2 linked regions of the Lytechinus pictus genome follow. The protein of the gene in region 2 interacts with the protein of the main gene of each other region in a pairwise test. Links are inferred from orthologs where the notes say so. Each region holds a gene or a part of one and is shown on either strand. Other genes may lie near its edges.

What was found.
Region 1: the proteins of kinesin-like protein KIF9 (region 2) and protein arginine N-methyltransferase 6-like interact in a two-hybrid assay, tested with the Homo sapiens proteins (2 studies listed by BioGRID and IntAct). The link is inferred for Lytechinus pictus from reciprocal best matches to the Homo sapiens genes KIF9 and PRMT6.

Annotation. Positions count from the first base shown.
Region 1 is NC_087247.1:70,356,080-70,364,266, forward strand, and holds the start of protein arginine N-methyltransferase 6-like, read right to left. Parts: upstream 3,157-8,187; 5' UTR 2,923-3,156; coding exon 2,858-2,922; intron 2,299-2,857; coding exon 2,233-2,298; intron 1,738-2,232; coding exon 1,670-1,737; intron 1-1,669. UniProt on the Homo sapiens protein: Arginine methyltransferase that can catalyze the formation of both omega-N monomethylarginine (MMA) and asymmetrical dimethylarginine (aDMA), with a strong preference for the formation of aDMA.
Region 2 is NC_087245.1:27,249,347-27,257,187, forward strand, and holds the start of kinesin-like protein KIF9, read left to right. Parts: upstream 1-4,670; 5' UTR 4,671-4,805; intron 4,806-6,388; 5' UTR 6,389-6,415; coding exon 6,416-6,514; intron 6,515-7,032; coding exon 7,033-7,198; intron 7,199-7,841. UniProt on the Homo sapiens protein: Essential for normal male fertility and for progressive motility of spermatozoa.

The sequences.
Region 1 (8,187 bases), on a different chromosome or scaffold from region 2:
AAGGTCATGTTCGAATTAAAATAAGCTCAATCTTTCAATACAGACATGACATTCTTTCTGCTTCCTTTTGAACACCATGATCTAGGGCGGATCCAGGATTTTCCAGTCGGGTGGGGCACATTTTCCCAAAGAAAAATTTGACAAGCAAAAAAAATTGAACGTTGAAAGTTGAAATATACCTGCCCAAAATCTATTTCACTTGCCCGATAAAATCCTTGAAAAAATAGTTTTACCTTATAAACCCTTGACCTTTTTTCTCTTTTGAAATGAACTGATCTACCTTGTTATTGCATTTCTTTTTCCAAAGTGATTTTATCTTGCCTGCCATGACCAAAATTAGGGTCAATATCATATCATCGGCCCTAATTTTGGTCATTCTACTGTGAGAATTTTGCTTGCCCAATTTGGGCAAGTGCTTATGTAGCACACTGGTTATATAATTAGTAGTAGATTTCTTAAGTAATCGCCAACAAACTGTGCAGTATAGAGGCCAGTTATCGAAATCAAAATGCAGTGTTACGGGTGTACCTCAGGGCACCAAACTTGGTCCCATTTTATCTTTGATAATGATAAAGGGTGCCTGTAGTGATAGTACTTTGTCATACTTTAAATATGTAGATGAATTAACCATGGTAGAGTGTAGAATGAATAATCAAACTTCACAAATACAAACTGAAATTGAATTACTCGAATCATGGACTTCTCGAAATGATATGGAACTCAATGCATCAAAATGTTCTACAATGTCAATTTCATTTTCAAAACAACCTCTTCAACCGCAAGTGATCTATATAAATAACATGCCATTACAATGTGTAACCACGGTGAAAATCCTAGGAATTACAATTAAGAATGATTTAAAGTGGAATGCTCATGTAACCGAAATAATGAAAAAGAGCAATAAAAAGTTATACATGCTAAGAAGATTGAAAGCTTACAATCTACCTGAATGTGATTTGTTAACAGTGTATATAGGGTATGTAAGACCAGTCCTGGAGTGTTGTATACCTTTATTCACTGCTTCTCTTACTTTGAAACAGATAAGAGTTATTGAAACTGTCCAGAAAAGAGCATGCAAGATAATATTGGGAACCAAGTATCTATCATATGACATGGCTCTAAATACCTTAAAATTGACATCACTTGAAAGTCGAAGAGTTAAAACTTAAACTTTAAAGTTAGAAATTAATCAATTGTACAGAAACTGGTTACATCCACTGAAAACAGACGCTTTCAATTTACGACATATGAATAAATATAATGAGATTCCATGTAAAACAAAAAGATTTCAGAACAGTGCTCCTCCAAGTCTGACAAGATTCTTAAATAAGTACCATGGTAAATAAGTTTGCAATTTGTGTAATGAGTGTGCAATATTGTATTATCTATAACTTTATTTTTATCCATTTTAACTCCATTTGTAACTGCACATATGTAATTTTAATTTGTATATTCATTGCTCATCTTCTAAATAATTTTGATTATTTTCATATATTGGCATTGTGTAAACATGTACAATTCAGTCTGTGACTGCAATAATTTTTTTTCGCAATAAACCTGAATTGAATACAATTCAACTTTAGGGGCCATAATGTTTTTGCACAATAGTTGGCCTCTTAAAACTATTTTGTCTAATCCGACTGGATCAACGTTTGATCATATGACCTACCTGTACCTGCTCCAACATCAGCAACCACCTTCCCAATGAGTGCATCACTGGCCCGCAAAATGGCTAACCTAATATTAGAGGTACAACAATAACATCGAGTATAGGAAATGGACAACAAAATGAAAAGGTATGGATGACATCTTAAAAGCGTCATATCGGTTTGGAATTGGGACTACTACTACTCCAAGGAGGAATTATTTGTTATAAATTAGACCAGAGCAGCATATGAATACATGCTAAAATGGAATAGGATACACTCTTAAAGGGTTTATTGAAAAAAACAACTAACCAATTCACGATATATACATGTATATGTGAGTTATGATATTACAGATATGTTACCATTTCAGTTCTTATCACAGGAATATTTTTCTAACTAGTCAAAAAAAGTAAAAAACAAACATCAAACCCAACATTTTCAAAGTTATATCAAGCAGGTACTTCTTACATGGTTAAAAAACAGCCTGGTATATTTGAGAAACTTACATTCTTTGTATCAAGCATCCTGTTTAAGTCTCATTATCAGGAAAACAAGAGAAAAGAAAAATATATATATATATTACCTGTATGAATTTGTTCTAACAACATCTCTGATCATTTCTTCATGAATCCCTATGTGTTCATATGACCTGTAAAAAAATATAACCCAAGATAGCTACCGGTAGTTCAGCTATTAGTTGATTACCTTCCAGAAGGCTCTACATAGCATGTTATTATAAACCTTCTGAATTCTAATATGTGAGTGCCTGACAAGAATTCATAAGGGTCCATTTCTTTTCTAAATCTTTCATATGTGATTCAGCCAGGTAAATTTCAGCTGGTAGATTGATGGAAAACTCAAGACTCATAAACCATCAAGATCTCTCTTCATAGAAAATAATGTTTTTTAATTTGTAATAAATCCACCTTAAAAGTATTATTTTCAGAATATAGAATTATAATTATATGCAATCAGTCACTTACAAGTAATGCATTTACATGCATGCAAGTTCAAGCCATATTGACATTGTTTCATAGAACTTACCAAGTGATAATGCTACTTTCAATAAACAGTTCAATAGTAATACTGCTCAAATAAAAATGAAAATGAAAATTGTTTTAACACATTTGAAGACAATATCATTCAACACGACACTGACTTATTCAACAGGGTCATGGTTTTTTTTGTTTTAAAAGGAAATGACTTACTTGAAATAAGATGTGTCTATCTCTTCAGCCTTTCCTTCTGTTTCTTCAGAGCTTCTGATGCACATTCTGTTGAAATGAATTTTAAGAGAGTAATAACAGATAAGGAGATTAACCACACAGTGTGGAATATAATGGACTCATCATAGATCTACTGTAGATTAGTGTTTCATGATGACAGACAATGTCAACTTTGCAAGGTTTCATTGTCGAGCAACTAGCATTGCAAGCAGCTAAAAGAAAGGTAAAAAGAAAGGGACCATACAAAGATTCAGACTCCATGTCATTTGTTGTTGGATATGCTAACTCAGAGGTTGCCGAGTGTAGCAAGATGGTCATTGACATCTCGTTTTGAATCTGCTACCAATACTGTAGGAGCCGTATTTCAGATGAAGGCTGACATAATAAAGGAGAAGTTCACCCTGACATAATGTTGGTTGAAATAAAAGTAGAAAAACACTGCTAAAAAGGCTGCTTTCATTAAAACCAACTCATTGTCAGGGATACCATTGTGCTTATCAGTGCCTGATTTTTATGACAGAACATCTCTGGTAAAATGCAATTGCTGAATTGAAGTGTTTTAGCGCGGGTCTTCAGCATTCAAGCACCAATTGTGTACAAATCATGATCACACACAAAGACAGCTTTCTGGTTTTATGAAAAGAATTGATAAAATTTAGCTTAATTAATTTCTGAATTGCTACAAAAGCACCTCTAGAACTGACCTTCAAGCATAAGAAGTGCTGAGAGTAGGTTTCTTATGACCTTGTTTTGAAAGTAGTCACACAGGATATGGTTAGGATTTCAGCTGTTTAGACTATTACAGATACCAGACTCATTGAAAATCGAAGTGTACAACTTGCAAAGAGAAATTAACAAAACTAATCAGGCCTCTCGATTAACTTTAATTTTTGGAAGTCAGCCGGGCACCCTGGACTGAACTTTAGGTGGTGAAATGGCAGTTTAGGTGGTCATCACATGCATATTGAAAATATTGTATCATGACAAATTGTAAAGTATCAACTCTATAAGTGTAAGTTTGCTGCCAAACACTAAATTACTGGTGGAACCTTTCTGTGGATTAAAAAGGACAAACTCAAGCCTTTGTTTCAAAGGAGATAACAAAAATTACTCATGATCCTTTTCACACCTTTGTTTTACTTGAGACATTCATGTTCATTTTTAGACTTAAAGTTAGAGGTACGTTTTAAAATGAACAAGGGTCAATGACATTTCCTGAAATAAAAGCACAACACCCTCACCAACACTGAGGGAAACCATGCATAATAAAATGAATACAACTTCACCAAACTGAAATTGGAAAGAACATCATTCAATTCACATTTGATCATGGTTATGATAAATTTATTGTCAAAACATCACACCAAGTTAACAGTCGTTGCTGCGGAAATGTTGAAGTGCACTCACTCCATAAAGTGAATCAAACCAAGACTTGTTGTCATGATTTGGTCTGTCACATGTGTAAACTATTTTTTCCTTTTTTTAAATGTACTAACTTGATATAAAGGCTTCACTTTCAGCCCCCCTTTCCTCGCTCCTCCCCCCCCCCCCCCCCTCTGTCCATGTTTCTCTTTCTCTCTGTCCATGTTTCTCTCTCTCTCTCTCTCTCTGTGTAACTGTCTCTCTCTGTCCTTGTCCCTTTCTCTATGTCACTCTCTCTAAGGTAAACTCTGAGTCTCTGTGCTTAATTTGTTTTCTTTTAATGCATGATATCCTGTACTCATAGTTTGTTTTTGGATATCATATTAGTATTTAAATTTTGCATTACCGGGTATGTAATTATTTATGATGTTTATGTAATGATTATATTTTTGATTTGTAAAAGATTCCACAATTCAGCCTCTGGCTGCGAAAGAATTTATAGCAACTTTTTATGAAATGGGCCCCAGAAGTATACATTACAGAAAGAGTGGGAACAAAACCACAAGTGGCTTGGATGAGGCAAAACATAAACAAGTGATCATGTCGTTTAGACCTGGGACGAATGTCATTTTTACCATTCGATTATTTCCTGAAAAAACAATGGAATGATTCGATTGTTCGTCGGGAATCACGTCTTCTAAAATCGCAAAAGTTGACCTATATTAGTGACCCAAAATGCAGAAAACCTACAACTCTCAATGCCACACTTATACAACTGGACCTCACTGCATTGAACATTAAGGGTCTGTTTCTCACAAATGAAAGTATGACTATTTATTCCCCCTTTGATTTCTTTGACTATGTCAAAAGAAATTACATGAAATAACTTTCAGTTTATTGTTTCAATTAAAAAAATTTCCTGAATCAATGCTTTTATACACCCCCCGCATATGAATGAATCAGTCCAGATCATTGTTCACAGCTCAGTCCAAAGTCCAATTACGTCTTTTTTGTCTCCAATTCACAGTAAACAATACATTCACGCTGTATTCTTGTGACAGAGACCCTTTTTTTGGGAAAAAAATTCATCCCTTGCCTAAGTGCCATACCCAAGCTTGTTGCACTGCCCACGATGCTACACACTGTATTAAAAAAAAAGTAATTGCAAAATATTATTCAATTAAAAAATAAAAATTCCTAAGTTCCAAATTAATTTTTTGATGATTTGAACCTATAACTGGGTCTATATTTGGAGACTAGTCGAGACATGGAATGAATAGGCAAGGGTTCTGTTGGAATGTTATTTTTAGGCCTCTGGGGAAAATTGGTGTGCCTGTGTATGAGGAGAGGGGTTATACAGATTGCTTTGCTTTGTTTTGAAACATGAAAGGGTTCCCCCCCCCCGCATTCAATTATTCCAACCCCCTATCTTTCTCCCCCCCCCCCCTCCCCCTCTCTCTCTCTCCGGCCCACACACCCACACAGGTTGGGAGGGGTTGATTTTTTCTCTGAAGTCATGACCTTTTCTGATAATGGTCACACGCGCGCTTGAAAGCAACTCCCATCAGTAGAGCGCTGGCCAATCACAGATCAGCAATTAGCTGTTCTGTGTGTGTTCTATTTTAATACGAACATGTACACTGTGTATCGAGGGGAAGGCCGGATGGGTTAAAATTTATTTGGAGCTCGTTGAAGTTGGTGTTTAACAGTGAATACAATGCAGTCATTGTTCATTTTTTTGACAAATTGCCTCTGTATCATTTTCAAACCTGTATCAAGTATTTTAATGCAATTGTTATCATTTTTGTAAGCACTTAATCAACAAAATATTCCAAGTTTAAACGCTCTGCATGAGAGAGGTTTCATTCGTTTTAGACCTACTCATTTTCGGTTTTCTACATTTATTTTTTCTGGTGGTCAGCCCTGGCACTATTACCCGACTTTTAGGGTGCCCGACGGAGCTTTAGGCGGTCAATTGCCCCCGGACCGCCACCAATTTCGAGCCCTGTTACTAATGTTAAAGAGCAGCATCAGACAAGTGCCATGTAAAGAAAAAACAAGTGGAACACCTCTGGCAGTCTAGCCTGCATTACGCTATTCGATATAGCAGCTGTGCTGCCTTTGAAAACAGCTAATGAATAAATTATTCACAGAAGAAAACACTGATATGATAATAAAATATTATGTCCATTCCCTCAAAATGACCTTTGACCGTGATCATGTGACCTAAGACATGTGCAAAGCATGCAATCATTCATACTTGATTACCCTTATGTCAATGTTTCATGAGCTAGATCCATAAACTTTCTTAGTTATGACGCCAATTCAACACATACTCCGAACACTGCCAGAGGCCATTAACCTGTAAATGACCTTTGATCTTGGCCATGTTCCAGAAACGCACACAGGGATATTCAGGGATACACTATTACCCTTTTGTCTAAGTTTCAAGAACTAGGTCCATATACTTTTGAAGTTATGACAACATTTCAAAAACTTAACTTTGGTTAAGATTTCGATATTGATTCCCCCAACATGGTCTAAGTTCATTCACCCTAAATGACCTTTGACCTTGGTCATGAGACCTGAAACTCCGGCAGTATGTTCAGTAATACTTGATTACCCTTATGTCCAACTTTCTAAGTTATGATGCCAATTCAACACATACTTCGGTTAAGATTTGGTGTCGACGCCGCCGCCGTCGGAAAAGCGGCGCCTATAGTCTCACTCTGCTATGCAGGTGAGACAAAAACTAAACAAGAAGATGGTCTTCTTCATCCACTCTGCAACCATGGACCCGCCAGGGGGAGACTCAAATCAAGACTTAGTTTCTTTCACTCAACTGAACTCCTTGATGGCTCTGCTCACAATCAAAGGGTCAACCACCTCCAGTCTGTGACGCACAAGCTTAACCTATGGAGCTTGCGAGTCACTCCCCCCAGGTTCGAGTGAGGAATCGCCTACGCCTGGAACAGGACGGTGCAAAGTCCTTATGTAGAAATGGGGCTATAACATAGATGGGGACACTGTTTGTGAGTGTGGGGAGGATCAGACAATGCAACACCTTCTGGTCTGCCCCCTCCTACCAGAGCCATGCACTGCCGAAGATTGAGTTCTTGAACCCCAAAGCCAGATCTTGAACCCTCCACTGGACAGGTCTTGTGTAGTGACCCGAGAAGAAGTTTGACAATGTTTCACTTTGAAATTTATTCATTCCTGAAACATAATAGTTTTCTAACAATTTCTAACAGTTTTCTAAAATAAAAATATCGGGTAAATTTTGTTAGATGACTGGATTTTATTTTGTTTGCTTGAAGTTTGAACTTTTTTTCTTTCCTTTCTTCTATCCTTCCTGCTTGCCTTTTTTGTTCCATCTATCTTTATTTCCTGTCTTTCCTAGCTTTCTTTCCTGATCCATTCTCTCTCTGTTCATTTTTCTTTCTTTCCTTCCTTTTCTAGCTTTCCTTCTTTTTGCTTTATTTCCTTCCTTCTTTCTTTCCTTGAAATTTTCTTTGCTCCCTTCCTCAGGCTCTTTTTCTTTTCAATCTTTCTGTCATACCTTCTTTCCCTTTTCCATTCTTTTGCTTTCATTCTCTCTTTGCTAGATTCTTTCCTTCCTTCTCTTTCTTTTCCCTTATTCTTCTTTCCTTCATTGTTAATTCCTAATTCCTTCCATCATTGTTAATTCTTTCTTTCCTTCCTTCCTGATTTTTCTTTTTCTCTTTCTTTCTTCATCCTTGTATCCTTCCTGAATTCCCTTTTCCATTTCATCTATCTTGTATTTCTTTTAACTTCCTAGCTTTCCTTTCTGTATTCATTTATTTTCTTCATTCTTTCCTTCTTTATGTCCCTCATTGTTTTTTTTTCTTTCCTACTTTTTCTTGCTTTTTTTAAATTTCCTTTTTTAATTCCCTTCATTCTTTCTTTCCTTAAATTGTTCTTTACTTCCT
Region 2 (7,841 bases):
CTTTCGTTGATCCTATTTTATTTTTGTGCTGTCACACAATCTAATTTGTTCCATGCATATATAGGTTTCATTCTCCCTGGATCACTAATATAGCTCCCCCAAATCATGACAATTTTAGAAAGACATCAGAATGATTGCATGTTGTTCTGAGGAACTCCATGAATATGATATTCAGTTTTCACTAATCACTATTTAGTATGAAATAGGGAGGAACTATGGACCTCGATTTTGCCTCTGTACATATTATACAGGGGGCATGGCCGTACGCAGCGGTTGGGTGGGCAGCAGCTGCCCCCAAAAATGTTGAAGACCTACATTTTTTTTACTGAAAATTTTCATAAATTTCACCAATAATGTTTTATTTATTTATTTATATTGTTTTATTTATTTTATACTGCAGGGTAGGCCTGTTCAGTTCTTAAAACTGCTTTACAAAGGCGCCCTGCAGTTTAAAATACATGTCAAGATAACTATGAACAACAACAACAACAACAAACAACATCAAAAATACAAAATACAAAATATCTAACATCAGAAACAATTAACACCAAAATATAGAGTGGGAAGTGACAATTTAAACATACATAGCATTGTAAATCAATGGAATATCATTTCGCTCTTTATCAATTCGTATGAAAGGCTTTGCATAATTTTTTAAAAACTAACAAGGAGGTACAAACTTGTAAATTTGAAGGAAGTGCATTAAATAATTTGGGTCCGACATATGCGAAAGATTTTCTTTTATGTTCAATTCTAGCTTTGGGAAGCTGAAGGGGGCATCGTAAAGAATGTTCACAAAATCCTTCAAATTCACTTTCAAAAATGCAAAAGCACCCCAACGAAACACTGGCATTCTGAATAAACTAAAATATTTTTTTCCTGATCACATTTTAAAAACATTATATTCCACACTTGTTTTATCCCATATGAATTATGGAATATTGGCCTGGGGTAATTGCAATACAACCTTAATTGATAAAATATTCACGATACAAAAACGAGCAATTAGGCTGGTTAATTAAGTTGGTTTTTAATCCCATAAAAATCCATTATTTTTCCAAAATAAAGTACTCAAAATTTCTGATATATATGCATTTCGATTTGATATATTCATGTTTCAGCTTTCAAAAGATGAATTGCCTGATATATTTGCTTCTATATAATATATATGTTTCAAAGGAACAATCTAATCCACACATATCCCACCCGGCTAAGTGACTCATATCACCTTCCGCGTACTCGCACTCTCTTTGCTCAACGAACAATTGCATTTGAAGGGCCCATGCAGGTTTTGGAACGATCTTCCCCATGATATGGTACATAGTGCCTCACTTAATATATTCAAACGTAAATTGAAAGCGATGCTTATCAATTCTTATAATTTCCCTGTGTAAACTGTTATATACAAGTACTTTGTTAATACGCTCTGGCTGAGTAATGAGTAATAAGTAGTCATAGAGTGGCAGACTCTTTTTTATTTATTTTTATTTATTTATTTTTTTGTATTCCTTACATATCCACAATTGTCACATTTTGACATTACTTTATTATTATCAATTTACTTACCTGTCCTCTCCTACTCATTAAGACTGATATTTTTTCTGGATCCTGCAGACTTAACAAGCTTTGCTTTTTTATGCAGGGTCCCTCATATTTCACTCTTTTAAATTGTCTTTAATTCTAAATCGCTATTTTCTTTAAATTGAATTAATTGTTATGCCTTGTCTGATTTGTATTCTCATGAGTTTTCTGATATTGTTTTCATATTGTTGTTTGTACTTGTGAAATGTGTAAAATAAAGTCAAATCAATCAATCAATCAAATCAACGAGAAGCTCGGGAGCTTCGCCCCCTCGTTTTTGAGGTTTTTCGAAACTTTTTTTAAAAATCCCATATACGGCCTTGACATGAGGGGGAGGGTGCAGGGCGCACTTGCCCCTCAATCCTTCCAAATGTTACATGACCGAGAAAAGAAAAAGAAAGAATATTTTTAAAGAAATTAGAAAATGATTTTCTGTATACTTTGAAGTCAAAATATGTTACAATTCAATTGGATTTTTATTTTATAAAGTTAAATTCGTTTTCTCTTGTAACTTTTTTAATTTATTTTTTTATTTGTTTTAAAGGAATTCCCGGACCAATAGGCCTATTCTGATCGTCCCCCTATAAATTGTGTAATCATTACGTGATTTGCTACTATATGCCTCTAAAGGCCACCGCACACTGACCATACGACTGGTCCACGATCCGATGGAACAAATCGCATTTTGCTTATTTTCTGAAAATTTTGGTGAAAAGTATCATTTTTTTGAGGTTCAAAATAGCTGAAATAATACTAATATAACAGTTTGGGATGATTGCAAGCCTTTATTTTGGAGTAAAGGTCAAATTAGTTTCAAATCGTAGCTAATCGTAGGACGGACGACTAGACTTCGCTTTTTTATTTTAAACATGGCAGCATAGTCATAGATTTGAAGGTATGTATTCGTAAGATGATTTAGAACAATTTACACAGTACGATATTCCATGTCTCAACATTAGCATCAAATTCTACTACGTTCTATTTAAAAGTCGGGTCGCAGACAAATCGTAAGGTGTACGTCATCATGCTTATGTCAGATCAGAGAAGAACTATAGCCGGGGAGCGATTCTTGCAATATCAGAGAGGCAAGAAAGTTGGAACCAAAGCGACCGAGATGAATTTTATGCATAGATCTATAGTCAGTTCGTGCATTAACTTCACCTTCGAATTAGGTGGTTAAAATCTTACAAATATATTTTTTTTAACTTTTTACTGTTTTTTTCCTTTGTCTATCTCCATTACGATTTACAGGCCTACGCCCTGTCAAATTACCACGCCTACATACAGGCGCGTAGCCAGGGGGGGGGCGGTGGGGGCGGTCGCCCCCCCAAAAAACGTCCCCAAAAAGAAAAAAAAGAAGGGAAAAAAGAGAGGAAAAAAGGAAAAGGGAAGAGAGGAAAGGGAAGAAAGGTAGCTTTGTCGGTTTTTTTTTCTTTTTATTCTTTTTTTTCTCAAAAGAGAAACTCCTTCACTCTTCCTGTAAATTTATATATGAATTTTGCTTCCGCGCTGCGCGCGGTTAAATGACAATATTGAAGTTCTCCATTGTTTCCCCCACCCTTTCTCTAACCCTGCTTTTCCACCTCAGCTATATGTGTTTCTTGCCAGTTAAAGTTCAAATGTATAGATTAGGGCATGGAATTAGAGTAAGGTTAGGCCGAAGTATATGAAGTTATCTTTTTTTTTTATTGATCGCGCAACTTCTGGTCGGGTCGGCTCCGGGCGGGTAAAATCTTTATATCAATTTCTGCCGTCACCTCCATAAAGTCAACTTCTCCCGCTTTTCAGGTCAACAACCATAGGTAAACAACCATAATTTGGGGGAAACAGGTTCCTAATTTAAAAAGAGGAATGTATAAAATTCGTGTCGTATTAAATAAAAAAGTACAATATTTTTTTTCAAATTCTATTAATCTTCATGTTATTTCCCTGCACATTCATCTCCTGTCCTATTTGTTCGCCCTCAGTTTGAAATTTTGAATGACACTTAGGTTTCTTTATAATTCAAAATGAAGCGCTTCAGGATAAGTCAAAGAAATTAGGCATCCTTTTTTATATAATTTTAATAAATCACAGAAGTTTCAACTTTTTGCGTACTATTTTCCTTGTAATGAAGTTCAATAATCTTAGGTTATCAATTGAATTAGAGCCGATGGGGTATTAGACATATCTGCATTTGATGAAACGTCCGCCCTTTAAAATTTCAGAGTTTTATTGCTCTGCGCGGGGAGGAATATCTTCCTCCCGGCATATACACTTCTTCTCCTCTGTTTTGCGAGTTAAAGATATGCACTGTCGCTAAATTGTTTGTAATCAAATCCGATATTTCCAAGGGAAGTATTCAATATGTCTTTGAGAATACCCTTTTCTCGGGACCCTTTTCATGGCAAAAAAAATTGAAAAAACGCTTTAGCTTCCGCGCTTCGCGCGGGGTTATTATGATTTTAATTTCCTCCATTGTATACCTTTTTGTGCGTTCACAATCACTTTTGAAAACAAGGTTCAAAATCACAATAAAGTCAACTGAATTGGAGCTGATATAGGTACTAGAGACAAGAGAGACGGCTCCTTTTCATTTTAATTTATGACACACCAAAAGCTTCACGCTTCGCGCGGGAGGGGGAAACTCCCCCTCCCTGCACCCACCCCCCAGGGAGCGCGCTTCGCGCGCTCTGTAAGTGTTGGCACGCTTCGCGTGCATTTACCGCCCCCTCCAAAATGAAATCCTGGCTACGCGGTTGCCTACATAACATCTCTTCCATAAGGTTGTAATCACTGGAACCATCGCCATCAAAATGTAGTTTTAACGTTAGAACAGGGGCCCGTCATTTCAACCCTTTTCGATCATGGGGTTTTATATAGTGCCCCCCCCCCCTAAAGCTCCACCCGGGGCCAGGCACTTGCCCCCTAACGTTAGATATGCCACTGCTGATTCTGGCAGTTATTGAACTAGTTAAAATACACATGTATACTACATTATGTACATATGGAATATAATTATACTACATCATGATTTTTTACGGTTGCAGACCATGTGCGCATGAGCAGAGGCCCTGACAACGACGACGCCGTTGATAAACGAAACCAATAATATCGAATGCGTAATTCTACGGACGCGTCAAATGTACGCGCGCCGTCTCATTAGTTGCGTAGTAAATACGAGCAGCACACGCGGACGTCTTGGTTGAATTTACCTTTTTAATTATCACCCTTTTCCAGCTTTTGTAAGTATCAAGTTGCAAGTTTCTAATAATGAAATAATATTTTAAAGCTAAAACTGTGATATTGTATCGTGAAGAATGTTTCAAACGAAAATCCTAGCTTTTAAACGGTGTTTAAGTCAATCGCCCGTCGACACTCTAACCCGCGAATAGCAGAATTGCATGGTTATCCACGCCTGTAGTGTCGGCGGAAAAGTGACCTAGCCTCTTGCTCATGCTCGCTCATAATTGCGAGCAATGCCGCAGTGCAATTGTTGTAATTGACGTTGAACGGTCAATCAGCTTGTTCGCGCACATTCATCTCAATAAGCGTATTACTATTATGACGTGTCAATTGTTTCATCATTAATTAGGAAATATAAACAACATAAAAAAAGTAACAGAAACAATATCACAACAACAACAAAAAGAAGAAAGTGCACAGAATTGGCACTGGCTTGACTTTTATTTTTATCTTGTTAATGTTATGTTATTAAATGTTACTAGGCCTAATACACTAGTCTAGTTAGTTTAGTAACATTATTTGGATTTTGGAATGGGATGGGCGTTTTGATCAAACTTGAACTTTTAACTTATTGAAATAACATAACGGTACCGGTACGGTACGGTACCGTAGTTTCGAAAATCAAAATTTTGAAAGTCAACCAGCCAGCAGCAGGTTTCCAGGATAAAGATGAAAATGAAAGGTCGTCGCAGTGAAGGGAAGGGTGGATCAAAATCAAATCAGGGTTCTAATGAAGGGGCAGAGGATTCAGATGAATTCCAAGTTGAAGAAGATTATTCTGTTGCTCAAACTCCAATCTACATGGATGAGACATCGATCCTGAGAATGGTATGGGTGGGAATTATTCAACTCCATGCAAGAAACAGAAGAAAAGTTTGCTCACTTAAAAGTATCCTATTTTTTAAATTTAAGCTGTCTTGGACAGTGTTAAATTTTTTTGTGAAAAATGCAATTAATACAGTTTTAAAGCATTGTTTAAACAATTTTATCAATTTGATGTATCATTTCCATCTGTTTCATTAATATTATTTTACATTGGCCTAAATAGAAAAATGCCCTAAAGTCTAGACCTTTAATGAAGTTGTTGTATGACAAGTGAAGTTCAAATATACACTGTACTGTAGGCCTACTGAAATCTAGGCCTAATTACATTTTGTTTGAAATACTGTAGCATACTCGTATCAATGTCTTATATTTTATGTTTTACCTCATTTCTTAAGATTAAGAGAGATTAAAATTTTTAAGATAAAGAATGATCTACTTTTAATACCAGTAATAACACAAGATCCCCTATATTATGGTGTATAAAAGAATATTCATTTTTGTTGCTAATTTCAATGAAGTATTGTATTCTATTTGCATTTTGTACATACATTTTGATTTACATTTTTGGTCGTGTTGTGAAACTAGATATAACTCTTCCATGCAGCTTTGAGAAATATATTGATGATTATATTTCTGTGAGAATGTACTTTAGCACTGATTTTAAATTGTTTTAAGGGTGTTTACAACAAGTACACACATGGGAAACACCTAAAATCTTTTCAGAATTTCACTGTTGTCCTCTTATTTCCTTCCTTAGGGAGAACTTGAATCAAGTGAAACATCAATGATGAATAAGCGAAGCAGTAAGGTGCGTGTCTATGTACGCACTAGGCCAACTGACAAGTTTGCCCAGGATATGATTGAGCTCGTTCCTGATGGCAAGGTAGGTTTTCCTCAAAAGTTTAGATTCATTAATCATTTATTGAAGTCTTTGCTTAATTGAATCTGAGTCTGGTGAAAATTCTAAGAATGATGATTTTACAAACGCAGTGGGAATATATTTTTGTGATAATGATGATTGGTGACTTATAGTCATAATTTTAGAGTGTTGGGTCATCCTTACAAAAAGCATTAATTTATGACATTGTTCATCAAGTGTTTCTTTTGGTTACCTCTTATGCTAGTAGTTTATTTTGAACAAGAATGCATCACAAAAAATCTGATTAAAAACATGCAATTAACAAGGGAGCAGTACATTACCACAATTTTCATGTACATAATGTTCATATATGTTGCTATTTTTCTGTTTTACAGTTTTGTTTTACTTCCATCTAATGATCTAACAATATTTTCATGCTAGATCATATTAAATACAATTTGTACAACTTTGTAGTTGCATGTAAAGATATAATTTCATGATGAAAAACAAAGGGTATGAATCATCATTCTTTATTGTCACAGAGCGTCAACATCCATGCCAAGAAAGATGTGAAAAGAGGCGTGGTGAACAATCAGATGTTAGATTGGTCCTTTAAGATGGATGGTATTCTTCATAATGCTAGTCAAGATAAGGTTTATGAAGAAGTTGCTTCACCTCTAGTCACACAGCTTCTTGATGGTTATAATGGTGAGTTTTTTAATATATTTTTTTATATAGATTATAGAACTTGATTTGCTGAATTTGCAATTTAAGTGTATTTTTATGAGAAAATTCAATTTTCCTTTAACCCCCCCCCCCCCTCATCCATGTGTGTGAGTTGTTATTTGTTATTGCTGTATTTTTGTATATTAGGAAATAATTTTGCTTACCAATTTGATGAGCTTTTTGGTCATAAAAGAAAAGCTCTTCACAACATACTGTGCAGTCCTATATGAAATCTGCTATCCAAAGGTATTTTTTGTGGAGCATTAAAAAAAAATGTGGAGGAAATTGTGATGCTATACCAGGAAAAACATTCCATGTAGAAGTAATTTTTTTCTTTTTACATCAATTGTTTAACATTTATGTAGCCTGCATGAATGGCTTTCAATGATTTCTAAATTGCTTTCCACTTATCTGAAGGCAGGTCAATTTGTGATATTTGTAAGTCAGTCTCCATTTGTTTATTATAAGGATTTTTATTTCCATTTATTATCCAGATGCATAATTTGAATTCAGTTTGAGAAAAGTTGATTTATGGATGATCATTAAAAGTTCCTATATTGTCTTATATTTGTTTTCATCTCATATTGTCTTTCACCCTGTATGTATGGTTAAATAAATAATGATA